4 linked regions of the Drosophila melanogaster genome follow. The protein of the gene in region 1 binds, or shares a complex with, the protein of each later gene. Each region holds a gene or a part of one and is shown on either strand. Other genes may lie near its edges. The genes, in order: Prim1, Prim2, PolA2 and PolA1.

Region 1 (6,417 bases):
GCTGCGCGCGCCAAGCTGTGTGCCTGATTGACCCCCTCGAACAGCAGCTTCACAAGGAGGAGGATTGCGTGGTGGCTGAGGATGACCTCTTCATTTGGCACGGTAATGACGAATCCAACGCCAAATTGGTCCTGGGCAGGGGGAGCGTTCTGCCTGCCAAAATACGGATATCACTGCCCCAATCAGAGGAGGGAAAGGGTGACGACGTAAGCAAAGCAGCTGCTTCGTTTAAGCTGCGCACCGGGGAGAGCGAGATCCTGGCCCGTCTGCCCGACAGCACGATACCGGAGGATGGGCTTTACCAGCTAGAGGTTGAGGTAGATGTGGACGATAAGGACGGCAACGTGGTGCCGCTGGTGCGACTGCGCTGCATGTGAGAGCCGGATTGTGAACCGGAACCGGTGCGATGTCGCCTAGACTATTTATTGTTGCTAGCCTAATGATTACAATACAAAAACTTAATAAAGATAAATACGCAAGCGGCAAACGAGAAAGTGTATGCATACTGAAATATTCATTAACCTTTTATTTTCTTATGTTAGTTTGTAAAATTAGAATCAAAACTGCAAGCTGGCAGATTTCTGGCTGCGCTCCAGTTTTCGCAGGAACTCCTCGAAAACCACGACACCCTTGAACATGCTAGTCTTCTTGTGATCCTTGATGCGGCTCTTATCCTCCGGCGCCTCCATGTAGCTCTTGCTCTTATCATCGAAAGCGTTGATCTCGTGAAGCAACTGGGTGATCGTCGGCACTGTGGTGGGATCAAACTTGGCCACAGCACTCACACTAAACGGAACGCACACTTTTCCAGTGGCTGGATGAATGCAAAACGGTGCCTTTAGCAAATGATTGAATCCCCTAGTGACATTGATGTCCAAACGAGGATAGAGCAGTCCAAGCTGGATTTCGGCTACAATGTTCTTCAGCTTGCGACTCCAGGCACTTGTCGTGGATGTTCTCATAGAGTTGGCGTACTTAATGAAGCTCTCCCAAACGAGTCGCGAGTGTGCTCCATCCTCCAAATTCTTTTGCATATAAGATTCTAGTTCGCCACGCGCAGCGTCATCGTGGACCATGTTAAGAAGTTTGGTAACTCCCTTGGGAGTTCCAAAAAGATTCTGATCCTCTAGTACAATCTCCTCGAACATGGGCTCCACTATCTTTAAGGCTCTCTTTAGGCTATGATGCGGTCGGTCTCCCATTGAACATCTGGGTGAATTGCCGCCCGCGAAACTGGCATAGGTAATAATGTTAAGGTATTCCGCCACAGCATAGCGACCACGTCCGTCCAAGTGACGGGCTTGGTAGTCGCAAACCCAGCAATGGATACCTCGTCTACCTGAGAAAATCCAGATTATGTGCTCGAAACCGAAATCCTCGCGCAAAGCGACATCCAAAACCCTGGCAGCCAGCACCATAAACTTCCAGCATTTCAGGCATACCCCTGCTCCAGAGCAACAGGTACGCACCTCGTCGTAATCCGTCATATCTATATCAAAAACGAGTTCACGTTGTACGGGCGTTAAGCCGCCAGGAATTGAACGATGGTTTTTGGGTTTGGAATGCATTACTGGTCCTATGTCAATCTTAATAGGATTCCTCGAGCAGATCTCCTTTTCCAATTCAGCTTGGGTATCAAAGCAGAGGTAACGTATGTAGATATCGTCCTGCAGTGTAAAGGAAATTTCACGATTGGAAAAGATAGCATCCTCGGCTGAAAAGAATAATGATCAACGGCTATTTTTAAGGATTGTAGTTGGGTGTACTTACATGATCCATACGATAGCCAACGGTAGAAGGGCAGGTGGGGAAAGAGGCGCCTGTAATACACGGGCAACATATCCTGCAGGACTTCGGGATTGTAGGCATGCACAGCAGTAGTCTGCTGCTGTGGAGCCTGGTTCTCCTGATCTGTGACTTGTTCGGGCATTTTAAGAAACTGAAAATAAACCACATATCTTATGATTATATCCAGAAAAAGAACAGAATACTTATAACCGTAAAGAAATCAAAACCATTCAGCTTTTTGTCGAAACCTTATATTTATATATTTTTTTGCTGATTTTTTCTTTTTCAAAGAGAGATACACGATTGGAGCTTAAAGTACTGAAATATATTAACGACATGCATTTTTTAAACGTAAGAGGCTTATTAATTGTCAGTTATGGGTCGAAACAAATTGAATCGAGCTATCGCAATGGAATACCGCAGAATGAACCTGGTCAGAGAGTTCGTCCGATGATTGGCTTAGCTTACATTGGAAATCTACGTCTACCATGTATATATATATATCTATATATTACTATATAATGTATGTGTCTACTTTACGGCTATGTTAGATCATTGTTGTAGCTTAAAGATTAGAGCACGACCGGCGGGCTTTCCCTTGTTCAGCATCATGGAGCAGCGAAAGGAGCCCAGTAAATTCCACAACTTTAGGCCACTGTGAGGCGAATGTCTTGCATTTTGTGCTGCTGCCAGGAATGCGCTGGCTGCCTGGGAGGCGCAGTATTGTAGAGCGTTACCGAGGCGATGTGGCTATTGGGCATCACCTCGAAAATCAGGTCTTGGTAGCCATAGCAAAAGGTGGAGCCGAACGGATTCGCTGTGTTCGTCGAGCTGGCGCGATGCAGCACCACTGGCCGCTCTGAGGTGGCCAATGCGCTGCTGATCGCGTCCCATTTGGTGTAGGCGGTTATGTTCACATGTTCCTGCTTAGTCGGCGTCACCAAATCGTGACCACTATCACTCATCGAAGGGTGATCCGCCTGCAGCAGGAACTGGAACTCGCAGCGATGGTACATATTAAAGTTGAAGTGACCGGGGTAGTTGGTGTGCAGAATGAATTTCTTGCAGGTCTGCGTCCGTGCATCAAAGAGCACATCGATGCCAAGTGTAAAGTAGTTAAAGAAAATATCGCTTCGCTTGCTCTGTGCTTGTCGATTGACACTCGAGCTGTGTATCTTCATTTTGTCCTCGCTCTTGAAGAATATACGATTGGGTGCTCCAAGACTGGTGGCCACATCCTCGCAGCTATCGCCGAAGAGCAGCTCTCGCGTAAAGCACTGACGGCGTGGCTCCAAAGCCCTTCCTGAACCCTCAGTAAAGAGCTTCAGCTTCAGACCCTTCGTGTGACCAAAGGCGGTTCGGAGAACAGTGGCCGATTCCAAATACATCTGGCGGTGATAGCAGGACAAGGGAAGAGATGGTACCCTGTTCTCCAACACATTGCTGCCTGCGTAGAGAGACATCTTGGACACGACGGGTGAGGCGCCATTCAGGAAAACCAGAGAACTCAGTCCATGGGCGTAGCCCGAGTGCAGCTTGCTGTCCACCGGAAAGTAGAAACTCAGCCCGCGAAAGTGTAGAGCAAACAATTGTTTGGCTGCATCGTAAACCCCAGGATGTGTGGCTCCAAAGGAGTGCTCGATTTGCTCGATACTCGGCAGCACCTCCGGGGAATTGAAGTATACGCCGAAATACCGCAGCTTCACCAGTTTCATGTTGAAAACCTCGATGGTCTTCAAACGCTGACTGACGGGATCAAAGATCAAGCGAACGCCATCCTGTGGCAGGTTGATAATGATGTCCACGCCCAGGGGAGTGGTATCCGAGTACAGCACCTGGACTCCCTTGATGATGCCCACCTGCGACTGGATGATGGCGATAGCCTGCGAGAAGTGCATGCCCAGCACAAATTCCCAGGCATCGCAGCCCAGGGAAATCTCCGGCACGATCTCCAGATCTAGCATTTTCACCTGGGGGTTTTTAAGGGATCTTGGTTTGTTATTGTTGTTGCTGCGAGTCGTCAACTTACTGACCTTGATATGTGAAATCAGTTCGCGTTGCGAATATATTTAAACAATTATATATATACGCAATTGATGGCCAAGTGTATTTGTTATTATTTCAGCACTTTCTGTTTTCAATTGTTTGCTCTCGTTTTCTTATTTTCGCTGGTTATGCCTTTATTTATTTTTATGCAATTACGCAACTCCAAAAAAATTGTTTAATTCGTGGGTTTCCAACTACTTGTCGTGTTCTTGGTGAAGCGATTAATTGTATTGTTTTCTTCAAAAAAATTCGGACAAAGACGAAATGCGCAGCAGAAAAATGAGATAATAACAAAGTAATGGCGTTGCCACATCGCCGCAGGCAGCTGATTCGCGAAATTGCAAAACAAATTGGGTGTGGCTTTGCCACCCAAAAAATATGAATATTAATCATGTTCTTAGTCTATCTATCTAATCTAGTGGCTTAAATACGGTTAGAGCTACTTAACAGTTGAGTTCATATAATTGCTTAATTTATTTGCCACATTTGGCAACGCTGGTTGAGAATGCAACAGCTGTTCCCATATTTTCGCGCGCTTTTTATTTACCAAAGATAGGGATTTAGAACTTACTTTTTGATCTTAACTGTTGTTCTTGGAAAATCAGCAGTTAACTTTGGATCCGCAAGGCTTTATACTTCGCCCTAAACAGTTTTTGCTTTTTATTTTCGTTTAATTATACACTTTTTATGTAGTTTATATCGCACGACTCCTGGCACTGGGCAAGTAAATAATAGCTGTTTTTGTACGACTACCAACACTACTCTGCTTGCTAACACTAAAAGTACACACATTTGGCGGAATATGAAAATGATTTGTTTATTACTTACAGCCCACTTTTCGCTTAAAACTAATAAAAGACATATAAAACCATCACATGCACTATATTCCTATTTATCAGACACTTTGGATTCCCGACTCAGGACACGCAGAACCGCAGTTGGGGCAGCAGAAACTGGCATCCGTTAAAACATTTGCATTAAGGCAGTAATAGCAATAAATATGACCACAGCCCATGTGGTGGGGCAATGTGGGTCGCTCTCCACAGAATGTGCAGGTGGTGCTTAGTGTCATCTGCGGCGCCAGGAAAGCCGGACCATCTCTATCCTCTAACCGTCGTCCGGAAAATGTCCATGATTTTAGCACTCTTTGTAGCTTACGGAAATTGATGATGGGCAACACCAGTCCGAGGATTTCCTATAATATACACTGTAATATATATGTATAATAAGCAAACTAACTAACACGCACCATAAATCCTCCCCACAGCAGCTCCCTCGTTAGGTACTTGTAGCCAATGTCTCTCCTTTGATTGTTCCGCAGACTAATGTAGTCCAATCCCAATAAGTAGTCCACCAAAGTGGGTTTTCGTCCTGTCTTCAGGAACCGAAAGTAATTGAGGATGTTCAGTATCAGGGCACTGTTCTCCACCCACATAATCGCCTCGCTAAACCATTCTACGCGCCTTGTTAAGCGTCGCTCCTCCCAGCTCTTCACGTAGCCCGGCAAGACGGTCAGGATGAAATGGAGCACCAGCCTGGAAACGGTCAGCTTTTCGGCATCGTAAGCCAGAACCAGTAGCTGTTGGCCAAAAGTGGAGCACCGCTTGCCGACGGAACCAAACCAAATTGCGGATTGAATGATCAAGTCGAGCTCCGGTTGGATTTTGATGAACAAAACGGGCTGTGAGAGATATACAGTATATATTGGCCAATTATGGTAGTGTTCATATACTCACTGAGATGGCTTGCAAGTTCTCCAGCAGATTATCGCGTATCAGGCGGGCAATGTCCTTGTTCAAATAGATGGCATCTATCTAAAAGGTAAACATGTATAATTTTAGTGGTTTTAATTCATGAATAGCTCACCATAATTAGCTCACCTGATTTACACGTGGTACATATTTGTTTTTCTCCATTATTTTGTTTATATTCTTGCCTTTGGTTAGCTGACCATTGATATATTTCTTATTTATATGTACTCTGCCCTTTCTTATCAATTAGAGATGGCAATTGTAAAGAAAGTTTACTAGTCATTATCGACATTTTTAAACAGTGCTGGTAAACTATATCGACAAACCCCGCCAAATTTAAACTAGCCATACTAGCAATGCGGTTTGATTTTTTATTTATTGCTAATTGAAATCAGCTTATATATCAATTACATCGACATTTCGAAGAAACTCCAAGTCTTTTAACCATTTAGGAAGCATTTTCCGTCAACATTTCAATTAAGGCTTATGCAATTTCAATGAAAACAAATACAAGAAACCACAATGAACTGAAGAACTCGTTTGGGATCCGGAAAATGTGTCTAACGATGTCTGGTAATTTGTGGAAATCTTGCCCATTGCCGTTTACGTCTGGAAACGCATAAACCAGTTGGTCAGCTGAGACATTTGGTCATTTGTTTGAGGAGTGCAAGTTCAATGATTGGCCCCGGCTGAAAAAATTATGGCCAGTGGTCGGGTGAGTTTTGATTTTATAAAAAGTACATAATTCACACTTTATTACACAATTTACAATTTCTTCGTTCGATCTCTGTTTTACGAGAAGACATAAGTATACATTACAGTTTACAGATTA
Region 2 (4,162 bases), about 12 Mb from region 1:
ACATCAACGCTCTCACTCCCGCCATGTTTCAGTCTCTGGAGTCCCTGGAGATCCTCGACTTGAGCTCGAACCATGTGGGCAATTGGTACCGCAGTGCCTTCCACAACAACTCCGCCCTAAGGGTTTTGAACCTGAGAAGCAACACCATCAACATGCTGTCCAACGAGATGTTGAAGGACTTTGAGCGATTGGATTACCTTAGTCTCGGGGACAACGACTTTATTTGCGACTGCCATTTGAGAGCGGTGGTGGAGGTGGCGGCCGCCAATAATAAAGATGCAGACTGCTCCTATAGACTGCTGAACTATAGTCAGAATGCCGTAGGTGAGGAGGTAATATCTCTGGCGGAGTCACTAATTATAGATCGCAAGCTATGGCAGAGTCGCTATATTCCCTGGCTGCAGAGAAGTTACTCCAACATCAGGGAGTTCAATCGCGCGAATCATATAATCAAGCTGCGCTTCTCCTCCGAGGACTACATGGTAGCCAAGTGCTCCGCGGCCCAGCCATACCACTTAGGGGACCTTGACGGAGATCTTACCCTAAAATTTCAGCTGCTCGACTACGAGGCCAGTCAGTATTACTGCTTCAACAACACCGATCAGCTCCAGGTGGATGAGCTCAACTGCCAGATCAGGTCGATGAGTGACCTCGCCGAGGAGTTGCACCACGTTACGAACACAGTGATCGCAGTCATGGGCAGCTTAGTTGGCGCTTGCATCCTGGGATTTATAATTTATCTGAAGCGCTGGCACATCCACTACTATTACTCTTCCCTGAAGTCCGCTGCCTTGTTGTCCAGTGCGTCCAAGGAGTCGGTGAATAAATTCACAAACATATCCCAGAGAGATCCCAGTGCCGTCTACGATATCTTCATCAGCTACTGCCAGAATGATCGGACCTGGGTGCTCAATGAACTGCTGCCGAACGTGGAGGAAACTGGGGATGTGTCCATTTGTCTGCATGAAAGAGATTTTCAGGTGAAGCGTACTTATCTTACAACATTAACTTACTAATAAAGTGAAACCTTAACCCTTAATTCACATGCAGATTGGAGTGACCATCCTAGATAACATCATCTCCTGCATGGATCGCTCGTATTCCCTTATGCTGATCATATCCTCCAAGTTCCTGTTGAGTCATTGGTGTCAATTTGAAATGTATTTGGCACAGCATCGGTAAGGAATCTTTATCTGTAAAATTCAAATATTAAAATCAATATATGTGTGTATATTGTAGCATCTTTGAGGTCAGCAAGGAGCACTTGATCCTGGTTTTTCTGGAGGACATTCCACGGCGAAAGCGACCCAAGACTTTGCAATATCTCATGGATGTGAAAACGTATATAAAGTGGCCGACGGCCAAGGAGGATCGAAAGCTGTTTTGGAAACGTCTGAAGAGATCCCTGGAGGTCATAGGGATCAACTCCAGAGAGATCAGTGTTTAGAAAACATGTAATTTTATCCGGAGAGTTCTAGTCAGTTGTGCACGTACCTGATATAGTATATAAACTACTTAATTACACTTTCATGAAGACGAAAGTTTCCCCACAGTAATCATAGTAATATGCAAAATTTGCTGCTGAACATAAGTATAGTTTAAACATATATTAATAAATAAAGGTATTTAGGTTTTTAAGAGCTTATGTGATGTTTTTGAAATATCTTAACAAAGGCAATAGCGTCGTATATTAAACATAACCTACTACTACTGGACACTATGTAAACAAAGCTAAGGCCTAAGAAATATCTAACAATGCAACACACAATCAATACATCAGTACCAATTGACTGATAATAACAATTAAAAACGTTTAATTTTGAAATACAAATTGAATAAACCGCAAGCATCGATAATGAGCAGAAAACTATCGATAACAACTGACACAGCTGATATTTGCCATCAGTAGTTTGCGCGCCAAAACAACAAACGGGCATTCCACAAATTGTAAATTACTATAGCAATTCCCGCGACTCACAATGGAGTTTGGTCTGAAGAAACGCGCGAGACATGAGGTGAAGGTGGAGGTGGCCAGCCTGGAAACCAAGTACCCGCACAACGTCATGCTGTACCACTATCCGCCGACGGAGGACGTGCACATAGACGAATTCGAGGAGCTGGCTCTAGAGCGCTTGCGCCTTCTCCGCGTCCTGGATCGCGCAAGCACCCGGAACCTGCGCGTGCTCTCAGATGAATGGAAGGAAATCGTGAGTGCGGACCTGACCCGCGAGGGATTGCGCAGCTATTTAAGGCTCTGCTCCACCGGCGGAAGCGCCAAGCACGAGGCGGATATCCAGACCCGCAGGCGGGACTATCTTTCGCACTTCATCTTGCGGCTGGCCTACTGCCGCTCCGAGGACCTTGCGCGCTGGTTCGTGGCCCGCGAAATGGAGCTCTTCCGGTACAAATTCGCTGCACTTAGCAGCTTCGAGGTGAAGCAGTTCCTTGAGGCCAACGGCTTTGAGATTCACCCCCTCACCGAGGCCCAGAAGGACGAAGTCAAGGACGGCCTGTACGAGAGCACGGTCGGACAGAGCGTGGCGAAGATCGAGCTGTTGGACTTCTACAAGGTGCCCTTCACCCAGGTGCTCGATCTGGTGCGCGGACGTCGCTGCTTTTTAAAGGCTGGCTACGCCTATGTTAACACCCACGACCTGGTGTCCCTAGTGGGCACCAAGCAGCAGGACGAGATCGAGCAAGGCCTGCAGGCTGCTAAGACTATGGTGGAGGATGTAGAAGCCGACGAGCGCATCTCCCGCACACTTAAAGCTCTACATAACTCGTATACCGGTAGGGATTACACCGTTTGTCGGGATGCAGCTGTGCCCATCGAGTCGCTCGATCAGCTCTCCAAGACCTCCATGCCGTTGTGTATGCGCATGTGCCACGAGCACATTCGTGCCAACCATCACATAAAACATAGCGGCCGAATGCAATACGGCCTGTTTCTCAAAGGAATTGGCGTGGCACTGGAGGATTCGCTGCGCTTCTGGCGCGAAGAGTTTACCAAGAAAATGGACGCGGATAAGTTTACACGCAGCTACGAGTACAATATTTACCATAACTACGGAAAGAAGGGTTCCATGGTCAACTACACACCCTACTCGTGCGCCAAGATTATCAAGGATGTGGCGGGGCCGGGCGATTGCCACGGCTGTCCGTATAAGAACATGGATCAGGGCTCGTTGAAAACCAAGCTGTCCTCCTATGGCCTGTCAGCCAGTGCCATCGACGAGGTGATGTTCTTTGTGTCCCGCGGTCACTATCAAATTGGATGCGGCAAGTACTTCCAACTTACCCACAATTCACCCGTCGAGCCGAGCATCAATCACCCCAACAACTACTTCGAGGAGAGCCAGATAGCGATGGGCAACCGGCAGAAGCGCGCCAATGGTTCTGCTCCGCCCAAGGCCAGAATCCGTCCAGATATCAAGGGCCATGGGGATCGGTCCATGCTGATGGGTGACGATGACGATGAGTTGTGGCGAATCGCGGAAACCCAGGAGCGTATCATGCAGAGCCAAAAGGACATATCCGAGGCCTTCAATGATGATCTAGATCTTACGCAAATCGATTACTAAACGTTGTACAACATAAATTAACTAAGGTACATATATATTTAAGCATCGTAAATAAGAAAAGTTATATTATTCCATGGTTCGGACTTCACCTCCGGCACAAGTAGCACGTTTTAAGCCTAGGATCAACAGTGTTCTCCGAGTTTCGGCCGTAAGGGGGCCAGCCATTGACATCTACGTAGTAGATGCCCCTGGCTTGGGGATTCATTCGATAGCCCATCGGGGAAACTATGCCAGCAGAACAATCCCGTTTTCTTAGCTCATCCCAAGAAGCGCACTTCTTGCCCATAAAGTTCTTCTCTTGGTGTGGATATGCACTCTCGGCGAAATACTCAACGGCTCGGGTATGAGAGCATCCGATGGTTAGGCAGCCTGGCTGGATGGGATGTGCTCCGCCGGGATAGAAGTCCACATCACCGAGGGGTCCACGCTTGGCCAAAATACCAATGTTGGTGTGGATTATGTCCACTAGCTTGGCATCGCCACGCGTCAATCCTGGCAGAATCTTTTCCCGCCTGAAACATGGCTTGGCCGGATCCAAGCCAGTTATCCTGGGTATAAGTTTTCCGGTAAGCTTCTTAAAA
Region 3 (4,439 bases), on another chromosome or scaffold:
CTGACCAGTGATCTGCAAATATGTTTTTGCTCCGAATGAAACCGCTGACCAATAGGCAAAGACCACCGTGAAGACATTGGCCAGGCAATTATATAAGTTTGTTAGGATAAGATCGTTGGTCAGCTCCAAAGCCCTATCGAAAATCCAGAGATTCGGGTATGCAATGGTGTACTCCGTTTGGCATTGTGGACAGGAAACGGCTTGCAGATTGTTGTTTATTCGGGTCTTCTCGTCGATCCAGAGGGAAATGCAGCTCTGGTGCACCCACTTATTGGTTCCTCGGCAGAGACATGGATTCACCCAAGCCTGGCGACCTGCCTCCTTATCGGTCTCAAAACAGATCCAGCAACAGCGCTCCAGTTCCGTCGAATCTCCTCCAGCTGAAGCTTGTGGCGCAGCAACGTTGCTAGCCATTATTGATCTTGTTGTATATAAAACTTGAGTCTGAGAAAACTCCAGGGCATATGTTTACAAATAATACAATACCTACTTTGGCCCAAAATAACTAATGCTAGTTGTTTGTTGTTGAATGTATTTTGTGAAAAGTTATGACAAAGTAGTGTGTTCATTATATTAACTAATAATATTGTACTGATCTATTTCCCACTATCCTTTCCTTATCATCATCACAAAGTGGTCAGGTTAGATGCGTTGGACTTGACACGCCACACTGTTGAACATGTTGGCCGCCTTTCCCGGCACCGAAGGCGCCACCAGGAATCGGGCGAAAGTTCCACCCTTCTTGTCCGCGACACGGCCGGGATTGATCACCAGGCAGTCGTTGACCAAGCGGATGAAATGCCGCTGATCGCTGGGCAAGATGAGCACATTTGGTAGCTGTTTGAGCTGTGCATATTTCAACGCCAGCTGGGAATCGTAGGCCATGTCTTCGTCCGCCGGCGGATACAAAGGATAGAAGGAGCCCTGGTGGAACAAGTGGTTGATGGCCCTGTGCATCCGCTCGCCGGCATTCACAGCAAACTCGTGACTCAACAGGTGGTCCACCACGTCGGTTGAGGTAACGCCCAGCGTAAAGCCATCCAAGTCCACCAGAGATGGATCGGGCAGCATGTATAGATTTGGATAGGTTCTGCGCAGAGCGGGCGGCGGCGTTGGATATACGGAAAGAGCCATGGCATCCTTCTGACTGGTCACCACCAGCACTGCTGTGTGACTACCAATCGACTCCATTATTCCCCCAATCATCTTCTCGAAGAATGTATCGAAGGTCTCGGCCAGTTCGCCGACCATCTTGTGATCGGCATCCAGGAATGGTCCCGTGAGCACCAGCACGTCAGGTCTGTGATCCTTGAGGTACTTGAGCAGGTCGTGCAGCGGTTCGTAGAAGAGATCCGTACTGTCCGTAAAGGGTCCGGAGGCCACCACAAACTGAAGCTCCCTGTCTATTTGCAGTGGCGTTGCTGGCGTCAGTTTGCGCTCTGTGTGTATCTCCTCTACCATGAAGGTTTTGCCCCTGGGTATGAACCCTTTGGCGAGCACCACTTGACCTGGGAATATGCTGGCAGACTTGACCCTGGAGAAGTTGAGCGTGAGCGTTGGGTCCATTTCATCTTCTACATCGTCATCTAAAACGGCCATAAATGCGGAGTGGGCGTCCAGTGGGCCATCGTCCTCGGAATGAATCATTCCCACCGCGTGGAGTCCACCTGCGGACTGCAATACCTGCCTATCCTGCGGATACCAAATGCACTCGGCTGCGCCTGCTTGTCCAAGTTTCTTGTCCACTAGTGCCGGACCGGTTTGGTTGAAGCGGACGCGCAGGTTGTGACATCGGTCGGTCAGCAGGTCGTTCATGTAGCCCAAATTTGCGATGGTCAGCGGGGCGTCGTTGTGCAGCAGTTTTTGAGTCACCGGAACCGTGTGCTCCATTTGTGACTGCCAGCTGGAGCCAGCCAGGAGTTTGGGATGTCCGAAGGTGTCAACTATATCGCCCGGCTTGCCGGCCACTGAGTTGGATGGTGTTTCTAAACCTGCTTTCCTCTTTGCCGATTGGGGTGTATAGCTGGCGGGGCTAAAGAGTGCGGCGCCCTTGAGATTGGCGGTCCGATCCGACTGCTTCTTGGCCTTGGGCGTGTGCAGAGCGGAGGAGTCCACTGCCGATTCGCTGACATAGTCATCCAGCATGGGATCGTCCTCCATGACGCCATAGGTGGCCAGTGAGCTCGTATCCTGTACAGAGGGCGAACCATATGATTTCGCCTTCTGGCCAGTTGCCTTGTATCCCGCCTTGTCCTTCCGCAGCTGCAACACCTTGCGCTCAAAGTCGCCCAGATTCTCGATCGCAGGATCCTCGCCTTGGAGGTGCGACAAACTGAAGGCCATCCACTGCTCCACGAACTCGGTGGCGTCGTGGATGTTGTAGGTAATGGCCAGCTCCGCACACCTGCCCAGAACTGCGTCCGCTGGCTCCACGCCCATCTCGTCGAACTGCTGCTTCAATTCCTCCTCCATTCGTTGTCCTTTCGTTGGGCGTTTAATTTTCGTAAATAAACCTAGCAATTTATTTTGGCGGTAAAAGTGGGCACAGTGTTGCCACCCTATGATGCTTTTAACACCTGCTTGAGTTTTCTTATCGATAAGCATAGTCAGTTCAATAACATAACAGCTCCCATCGAGCTGCGATAACCGTGATCTGTAACCAGTGATTGTTATCGCCCATCCCCAATCGCAGTGCAACAGCTGTTTTAATTTTGTATTGACAAACTTTTTTGTTTACCCGCGTTCAAGCGCAAAACAAGCGAAATTAGCGGCTGTAATCGCGTCATTTTGATTCATGTGACTCCGCACAGTGTCCTGATAATCGCCGCGAAGCAAGTGATTCGCCATGAGCACGGACGATCTGCTGGTGCGCCGCGAAAGGAGTGAAGACTCCCAATCCTCGAGTGTCTCCATTCCGGTTACGCCCACCACCGGAGGTGCCGCGCCTGCGCCCAGCGCCCCCACGTCATCGCTGGACCGCCTGCGGAACACCTTCCGGCGCACGGAGAGCATCTCCTCGCAGATCTTCAGCCACATATCCACACAGTTCTCGAATGCGGCCGCAGCAGCCGCCTCTTCCGAGGTAATCGATGGCACCACCACGTACCCGTATCCCGACGAGCCCGCACCACCTGTTGTACCTGTTGCGCCGGACACGGTGGCGAGCGCCAGTGCTTCATCCCCGTCGCCATCGAAACTGAAAGCAAAGCGACTGAAACGCGGTGAGTCCGAATTATTATTCATTCGATGATAAGCAGCAATGGAAACCAAATTTCCATTGTGCGCTAATAATAATATGTTAAGTAATAATGTTGCATATATAAAATATATTATATATAATATATATAAATATATACACATATATATTTAATATAACAATTTAGGTACTCAAAACTATTCTAAAATGTATTTATTAATTAGTATTAGCAATTTCGTGGGCTGTGCGAAACTGTCGTTGAAATATTTCGGTACTTGTATAAATAATATGATTAAAAATAACTTAAAAGTGCATTGGGAAAGTGTCAAAGGTGATTTGCGCACCACACACAGCGTGACCATCGAGAACACCCCCAACGAAAGCTCGCGAGGAGCTTGCGAGCTTGGCGCACTGGACAAATCAATAGGATAAAGAACTTTTTGCCAGTCTTACTCAACGCGTACACAACAGGATAACGGTGCAAAATCAAAGCGGCGAGAACTTTCGGTTATTTTGTTAATTTCAGAAGTAAAACCCTCTGGAAAAGAGGTTTACAAAAGGAAAAAACCCCTCTAAGGTAATGAAAAAACAGTTGAGGGAAAGCGGCAGCAAAGGAAACTCGGAACTTATTGAACAGCTAATATCGATATATGTATATATCTGTATTTTTATGGACGCCCACGCACACACACACACTACTCAGGCGTACTTTGAAGCAGCAGCGAAATGCGTGGACTTGTCGAGGATACAAAAAGGACCAAGTTGTCGTCGGCGAACAACAACAACCTCAGCAGCACCAGCGGCAGCGGTCGCATCAAGTCGAGCAGCCTTGCAACAGGATCAAGTGCCAGCGGCAGCAGCTCGAAGCCCTTGAGAAGTGCAGTGAAAACGCCAACATCGGGCAGCGCGACGTCATTGTCGTCAGGAACAATGGCTGCCAAGAAGGCGCCTCAAACGGGGCAACAACAAGTAGGCAAGTCTGCAAAGTCCGCCACGGCAGCAACTCCAACTGGCACAACAGCAACAGCAATTGGAGCAACGGCAACAACAAGGGCGCAAGCAGCAGCGGCGAAGAGCCAAAAGGGTCAGAATCCACCCTCACAACAAGTGCAGCCGAAACAGCAGCCGCCACAACCGCAACAGACACAGCAGCAACCCCTGGTGTTGCAGCAACAACAGGCGAGCAACAGCAGCAATACGATTGCCTTGCCAAAGGCATCGCATGCCAACACCAGCGAGGAGC
Region 4 (7,489 bases), on another chromosome or scaffold:
GTCTACACTCAGTATTTCCCCGACAAAAGTCTGGAGGGCGAGTACGAGTTCGCCGCCAAGATGCTGGGTACTGAGATGAACAGAAAAGGCCACTGGAACCTCACCCTCTACGATTACAGGTGGGCACCGAGTTGCATGGAAATATGTATTTCCCAAGCTGTGTTGCAAACACCAGTATTGTTGATAGCTTTTGGCTTACATGACAACCTATCGCTCACTTTATTTACTTCCTCAGTCAAACCACCAGCGTTAGGCGCATCGGCGGTCCGGGCTCACTCATCAAGGTCCATGTGGAGGTGGACCGCATCGGCGGAATGGAGCTGCACATTGAGAACTTGCTGCAGGGACAGCCCCTCAACCAACTGGCCGATGGAGTCATCAACAGCATGTGGCAGCTGGGATTGCCCTTCATCAAGCCGATGATTAACGAGTTGGTTAGCACGGCATTTACGGATATATTCAACGAGTCCTTCCGGCACTTTCCGCTCGAGAAGTTCCTCGCCACGTGACCTCATCTAGTTAACCATACTGTATCTCTGTATCTCTTTTGTAGTATTTTTAATGGAACTTATAACAAAGGCTAGTTAATTAAACACTTAGACCACATCCGCCAAAGCACTCGGAATTGCTTCGATCTGGGGCTGCGCCACGGACGGTTGCAGGGACATCTGAGCCAGGGATCGGGCAAAGAGCTTGCTTAGCGAGATGATCACGTAGGAGGAGCTCTGCAACTGCTGATCCACCGTTTCGTATAGGAGTTGATAGGCCTGCTCCAGCTCCGGTGTGAGGGTGGCTTGATAATATGGACAAAATATAATTTCAATATGAAATGCTGTAAAACTTAATGATACCAATCTTAAGGGAAATATATGTATTAGGTGTCAGAACTAATATATAAACTACAACAATTTTTAAGAATTCAAGGATACAAGCATAAAGAACTACTGAAATCCGTCGAGATCACGGGAACTATAAAATATTTCGACTGATTTTTCCTTTCATGTGTCTTGTTATTTAGTGTCGATATTTCTCTCTCGTACTCCACATTCTTCATTTTGTTCTTATACACAAACTATTGTTTTAGTTTTTGATACTGCTTATAACTACATTGTATTTACTTACGTTTTTGCTGCAGCGTTTGCTTGCCGAGGTCGAACATGAATCGCAGGTAGCACAGCTGATTGTACAGGTCCCGCTCCGTATACTGACGCAGCAGGCTGCCGCTCCTGCACTTTTGGCACAGCGGGCGGTGGGATTTCTTCCTCAAGGAGTGTGTGCGGGTGTTGAAGTTGCAATCCGGGTGATCGCAGACCAGCCAATTTTTATAGAACCGTTGCACATACTGCCGCATGGAAAGCTGCAGCTGATTGCGCACGCTTGCCAGGTACTGAATCGGTGCCGTTTGGCACTCGGACTTAGCGCATTGCTGGAGTACGGCTATGTGGGAGTTGCTTGGACCCGGTCGGTACGCAGACGCCATCAGCTGCTCCGTCTTACAGGTAACGCACTGGAAGCGGAACGGTTCGCACAGGCGATACAACTGCAGAGTCGTCTTGAGCAGGGACTCACCCTCCGACTGCTCGGTGTTCTCTCGCTGGGTTCTACATAACCAAAATATTCGTTAGGTTAGAGTTTGTAAGGAGTAATAAGATAGTAAGTACCTCTGCGCATTCTGACGGAACTTGGTTGGGTCCATGCCCAGACACTCGGCGATGCGACTCGCATCGGTTCCCTCCAGCACCTCCACCATTCGCGTGACTACCGGATGGATCTGGTGTCCCAGGTAGTAATTCGTGTCCAGCTGCAGCTTCTTATCCTCACTGGTCTTGAGCTCATCCAAATGGTATGCTCGCTGCATGGCAGCATTTGTTGTCCCATCCAAACAGATCACATAGTCCACCATATCGCCCTTTTTGTACCGCCTATTACGCTCGCGATTCATACGAAGGGCCACCTGGACGTGGGGCAATGAAGCACTATTGGCATATTCCTGGGGAGTCCGAGTTAACTGTTTGGTGATGACAAACAGTGGCAGCGGTACTACACCCTCTGCAATTTGAGTTTTGATCTTCTCCAGTTGGGCATGCACTGCATCCAGTTTCTCCTCCAAAGGCTTTTCCGACAGCACTTCATCGAGAACGGCTTTTCCCACCATTACAGCCAGCTGAGACCAATCGCGACGTACTATATCCAGGCCCTTGTGCTCCTGTTCACGCCTCAGGTTTCCCTTGGAATCCTTGCTCAACTTGATAGCGGCATACTTCTTTTTCTTCAGCAAGAGCAAACAGCCAAATACTCCATCGATATCCAATTCCAGCTGCTTGTATAGTTTATTTACACTCTGCTTAATATTGTGACCAATCTTGTAGACCTGGTCGTAGTCGGTTATGTTGGTATTTATCATCAGGGAATCTGTGTCTCCATAAACAACGTCATAGTTCATCTTTTGCACGAGTTGTTGTGTGTTCGTGAGGATTTCTCTGCCCTTGTGGGTGACCAAAGCAGCCAAGTGCTGGGCAAAGAACCGGGAGTGGGCGAAACCCAAGCAACCATACATGGAGTTCGCAGTTAGCTTCAGGGCCATCTGCCGAATGTGGTACTGCATCTGGAGTTCCGGCGAAAGATCAGGCGCTGCCATTAGCTTTTTCACCTCTTTTCGCGACTCCACCAAGCGTTTCAATTGAAGGGGTAAGATTCCAGGTTCCGTTTTCGAGTCGGGTAGGGTGGGCAACTCATCTGCATCCACCGGCTGTTGGACGGTGGTGAAGCATATGTTGTACTCCTGTATTATACTGGGGTACAGGGAGTTAAAGTCCATGAGGAGAACGTACTTCTCGTAGAGACCACGCATGGGCTCCAACACTAAGCCACCAGCATAGGCTGCCTTCTTTTTGGTTTGCATCGTCGCATCTGCACCTGAAAGCGTAGCATCCGTATCTCCTGCACCACTTCGTTTAGAAACCGGCTTCTTGTCCGGCACTATGTAATTCTTCTCGTGGAAGGCATGCAGCAACAAGAACTCATTTCGTTCAGAACGACCTCCTTGAAGGGTCCTGGTCATGGTATTGCCGCAGATATTAGTGATTTGTAGCGCCAACGGCATGATGTTGAGCTCACACATCAGCCTTAGTAAATATGAATTGTCCTGCATGGTGAGCGATATGAGCTTGGTAATGCTTTCTCCTTTCTCATACATCTCTAGCAGATCATCGGCATTCACTTCCATTCTCTCCGATTCCTTAAGCTTCAGTACTTGTTTGCATAGCGTTTGCAGATCATAGGATCTTGCTCTTATACACTCCTCTGCAGATCGCTTTACATCACAAACCATTCTGCCGACGAAATGTTCCAGCAATCGCTTGCCAAACGATTGGCTCAGCCTCAGTCGCCCCATTCGAGACCATTGGGGAATCTTCAGGGCTACAATTTGATCGGTTATTACATTTAGTTGACAATCCATGGAATCGAAGGTTACAATGAGATCTGCATCTATTTTCTGGTACTGAGCTAAGAACCAACTCAACAGGGCTCTCTCTGAGTCATGTTTGTGCACTGTGGTAGACTTATATTTTGCCATCTCAAAGTTCAAATCTAAAGGCCAACTAACCACCGCCGGGCGAGTCAAAGCGCACATATGTCGATTGAAAGCGGGCTGTGGAGCAGGGCGGTCGATATGGAAACGATTGTGGGTCAGCATGGAAATCATGCATATCTCGTTTCTCGATGTTTTCGGATTCATTGAGGTGCGAACATTAAGCGATAGTAGCGTAAGTGGAGGTGGTGGCGCTGGCTTTCCCTTATCTTGCACCAACTCTACATTCTTGGGCTCTGTCAATGTGACCTCGGTGTTACACCAACTCATGGGAGTTGGGCTCACCTTGAATCCAGTCACCTGCAGCCAACAGGGACCTTTGATTTTCCGATCTAAGAGGAATCTTTCGAGTGCATTGGTGGTGGCGCCGAATATGTGTGCTATAGAATTGTATTTCTTGTCAGCCGACAAATTGGGCAGTGGTTTCTTTCCATCGTAGTGAACCTCCAAGTAATCGCAAGATTGCGGAACTTCAATACCGATAGCGTGATGGGCAAAACTCTTGGTGACCTTGCGGGATCGAAAGAACTCGAGCTTCAGTTGGTTTGCCACCTCGCTGTCGAACTCCTTGTATATGTCTGCGACGGTCACCTTCTGCTTGGTGGGCTCCTTCGAAATGGGATCTAAGAGCTAAAAGAATATATTCAGAAACAACACTTCACCTAAGGACTAAGTATTTGTAGAATAATACTCACAAATTGTCGGGGCAGCAGATAGAGCACACGGTTGATGTTCTGTACACGCAGACAGACGGACTTTCCATCTGCGGTCCGACCGAACAGGAAGACTTCGCCGGGCATTTTTACTGGATCCTCATAGGCCTCCCAGTACCAGAACCGAAGCTGTTGATCTGAGGAGATTGTCGAATCCTGCTCCGTGGTGAGCACGGACTTTTCAAAATCATCGTCCATTTGGCATATAGACTCCCAATTGTTCAGCAACCTACTAATGTCCTCCGATTCCGATTCCTTTGGCGATCCAGTTGTTTCTTTTTTGGGAGCTGATTTTTCGGCGACTTTGCTTTGGGATGTTTTCTCAGCTGCTGTTTTCGTTTGGGAAACCTTCTCGGTCTGCTGTGTCTTCTCCACATCAAACTGGTTTTCATCGTCATCCAGACAGCTAAAGTCCATTTCATTGTCGGAGAATGGATCTTCGGTGGCTTTTTTTGCAGGTGTCTTTTCAGGCATGGGCTCTTTTTTGATTGTAGGACTGGAGAAAAAGGCCACCTTTGTGTTTGGAACTGCTGCCTTGGGCTTCAGAATGCGCTCCAGCATCTCGTTATCGCTACTGGCCTCCGCTTTCTTACGTTCCTGCTCCTGAACTTTGATGTTGTTTAGAAAACTATTCATGTATTCCTTGGCAGCGGCGGCATCGAATTTACGCGACGTAACTGATATTTTCGCTGGGGCTATAACCTTTTCCGCCTTTTCTGACGTCGCTGCAGGCTCTTCCTTTATTTCGCCCAAAATATCAGCAAGGATATCATCGTCTTTCACACTGGTCTTTACATCCATCTTTTTGGGCACTGCATTGCTGAATAGATTCTTGATGGATGCTTTTCCTGTTACTGGTTTTTCATTCTCCCGTGGTCTCTTTTTGCTGTTGGGGGCAACACCCTTCTTCTTCTTCGAGTCCTTCCGATCCTCCTCCCCATCGGAGTACTCATCTTCGTCCTCGAAGAAATCCCGAAGATCTTCTGCATAACCAGTACCATCTAAAAGTTAAAATTTAGTATTATAAAGTATAGAGTTCAGAGTTCCAACTTACCCTCTTCGATCCAATCGTCACCGTACTTTTCCTGCGCCCTCTTCGCGTACTCCCGCTCATCAACCACATCGTATACATCGTCCACCTGGTCCTCCACTTTGCATTTGTTCTTGGTTCCCTTCAGCTGACGCAGTCGCTCCATGGCGGCGAACCTACCATTTTTGTCTACTCTCTGGCGCTTAGCGCGCGGTTCAGCTGGAAATTTATAATTTCGGTAAAAAATATGTTTAAGGGAGTTATCTTATTAACTTACACGGTGATTCAGACATTGCAACTGGCTAACTTTGATAATAATTTCCCCGTGTTGTGCTGCAGTTTGCAAAAATTGTTTTGTGACCAGGGCTGGAGGATGATCAAAGCGGGAATGGCGGGAACATATCGATAACAGAGCTACGATACATAAAGCGCTGCCGGACTTTTGCAATGTAATATCGATAGTGTCGTTAAGAAGAGGAAGAATGTAAGGAAATTAAAAAAAATAAAAGCCATACAATAACTTAATCCCAAATTGCAATTTTATTATTAAGTAACATCTCTATTTTATGAATTTCTGAGTGGTAATATATCGATAGGTGGCAGCGCGTTATGTTAGCTCTGGGCACTGTTAGCGTCTAATCTGTAAGCACAAATGATCGATTACAGTTAACACGAATAGTTAACATAACAGTTACAGCGATTTAAAATGACTGCTATATTTTGGCGGGAAATCCGACCTGATAATTGAAATGAATTCACCAAGTAAGAAAGAACAATGATCACCATTTAAAGGGCGTTCTTTTAGATTTTACATTTTCGAGCTTCAGCTTTTTAATTGCAGTGGATCACAAAAAGAAAAACTTTTCCATTAGCAGTTGCTCCATGAAGATCCCCTTTTAATGTGCTTGTCATATGTTTTTATTCCCAAATTAAAAGACAATAGTTTGTTTGGTTTTAATCGTATTTTATTTATCATGCATAATATTAGGCTTATAAGATATATATAATATTATACTTTAAATACAATATACAGCAATTTCGATTAAAATTTGTGTGGATTTGAAAGGTGATTTCATACCCTATATAATTATCAATGCAAAATCATGGTTTATATATATACACACATACACAAAACAGACTTACATATTACATGAATACATATATTTATGACTATATTTGCTGTTTAATTGTTATAAGCAAAAATTCGTACATATTTACAATTTAATAGTAAATATTTAGAATTTCTGCACTTGCAGTCGTTATATTTTACAATTATTTTCGGGTGTGTTGGTGAGGAAAGATTTCGGAAGATGAGAAAATATGGAAAATACTGTTTTAGGATAGGGTGATCGAGAGGAACTATAGAAAGGATATTAAAATGTCAGTCTACCAGAATGTACAGCAAAGCAGATAAAATAAGATAAAGGAGGGCAGTTAAGCAAAGCAGATAAAATAAGATAAAGGAGGGCAGTTATTTAGGATCCTTGAGGTATTTTCTTTAGCTATGGGGTGTGTTATTCATTTCTATATGGTTTTCATTTTTATTTCAAGCCACAGACATGGCACAACAATTTATTATGTTTTTTTTTTATGTTTTAAGGAATTTTTCTCCGTGTATGGTTTCCATAGTTTTGGCTAAACATTTAACAACAGCAACAAATATAAAAACAACAAGAAATAATCGTTAACAAGTGCAAGATGATACTGAAATGAAAAGAGAAGAAAAAGAATCAATGAATAATTCAGTTTACAATTGGTTTAATATTATACTATGTTATTATGTAACTATATTAAATCAGAATATAAAGTGGGTTGCAATTCTTATTCCAGTATAATTACATTGCTTGCTTAAATGTATTTCATATTTTTCTAAAGTTTATTTTGTATCAAAGAATTATCTTGATCTGGAGTATTCTTAAAAATACTTAAAAAACAAAAAGTAAATGTTATTACCTTGCTCTGTGCCTGCACAGATGCAACAGATGCTAGACCCACTGTTCACGCCCTTCACACCACCTGCACGGTGGCAAAGGCACTAAAGGTGACCTTCTTGGGGAACTCCGGTCCGGGGGAGCCACGCGTCTTGATCACCGGCTTGAGAGGCTGGCGGGGCTTCAGGGAGAGCAGTCCGGCGGAGGCGGCCAGTTCCCTGAG

Evidence for each region.
Region 2: Prim1 (region 1) and Prim2 share a complex: the UniProt entries of both Drosophila melanogaster proteins name them as parts of the alpha DNA polymerase complex.
Region 3: Prim1 (region 1) and PolA2 share a complex: the UniProt entries of both Drosophila melanogaster proteins name them as parts of the alpha DNA polymerase complex.
Region 4: Prim1 (region 1) and PolA1 share a complex: the UniProt entries of both Drosophila melanogaster proteins name them as parts of the alpha DNA polymerase complex.

The regions. Positions count from the first base shown.
Region 1 is NT_037436.4:8,338,488-8,344,904, reverse strand, and holds Prim1 (DNA primase subunit 1), read right to left. Parts: upstream 4,592-6,417; 5' UTR 4,406-4,591; intron 4,121-4,405; exon of another isoform or gene 3,822-4,120; intron 3,759-3,821; exon of another isoform or gene 3,753-3,758; coding exon of another isoform or gene 2,436-3,752; exon of another isoform or gene 2,029-2,435; intron 1,940-2,028; 5' UTR 1,931-1,939; coding exon 1,771-1,930; intron 1,715-1,770; coding exon 558-1,714; 3' UTR 501-557; downstream 1-500. Other genes in the region: CG7182 (uncharacterized protein), read left to right, coding at 1-377; CG7083 (uncharacterized protein), read right to left, coding at 2,436-3,752; Pex2 (peroxin 2), read right to left, coding at 4,730-5,029, 5,084-5,515, 5,571-5,648, 5,715-5,750. UniProt on the Drosophila melanogaster protein: Catalytic subunit of the DNA primase complex and component of the DNA polymerase alpha complex (also known as the alpha DNA polymerase-primase complex) which play an essential role in the initiation of DNA synthesis.
Region 2 is NT_037436.4:20,359,325-20,363,486, reverse strand, and holds Prim2 (DNA primase subunit 2), read left to right. Parts: upstream 1-1,901; 5' UTR 1,902-1,979; coding exon 1,980-3,581; 3' UTR 3,582-3,654; downstream 3,655-4,162. Other genes in the region: Toll-9, read left to right, coding at 1-980, 1,051-1,178, 1,240-1,447; CG5665 (uncharacterized protein), read right to left, coding at 3,667-4,162. UniProt on the Drosophila melanogaster protein: Regulatory subunit of the DNA primase complex and component of the DNA polymerase alpha complex (also known as the alpha DNA polymerase-primase complex) which play an essential role in the initiation of DNA synthesis.
Region 3 is NT_033777.3:27,237,307-27,241,745, reverse strand, and holds PolA2 (DNA polymerase alpha subunit 2), read right to left. Parts: upstream 2,584-4,439; 5' UTR 2,473-2,583; coding exon 643-2,472; 3' UTR 518-642; downstream 1-517. Other genes in the region: CG17991 (uncharacterized protein), read right to left, coding at 1-414; CG31064 (uncharacterized protein), read left to right, coding at 3,923-4,439. UniProt on the Drosophila melanogaster protein: Accessory subunit of the DNA polymerase alpha complex (also known as the alpha DNA polymerase-primase complex) which plays an essential role in the initiation of DNA synthesis.
Region 4 is NT_033777.3:21,666,018-21,673,506, forward strand, and holds PolA1 (DNA polymerase alpha subunit 1), read right to left. Parts: upstream 5,734-7,489; 5' UTR 5,629-5,733; coding exon 5,613-5,628; intron 5,555-5,612; coding exon 5,360-5,554; intron 5,307-5,359; coding exon 4,288-5,306; intron 4,223-4,287; coding exon 1,662-4,222; intron 1,602-1,661; coding exon 1,123-1,601; intron 794-1,122; coding exon 597-793; 3' UTR 545-596; downstream 1-544. Other genes in the region: Jhbp16 (juvenile hormone binding protein 16), read left to right, coding at 1-119, 236-509; CG31176 (uncharacterized protein), read right to left, coding at 7,343-7,489. UniProt on the Drosophila melanogaster protein: Catalytic subunit of the DNA polymerase alpha complex (also known as the alpha DNA polymerase-primase complex) which plays an essential role in the initiation of DNA synthesis.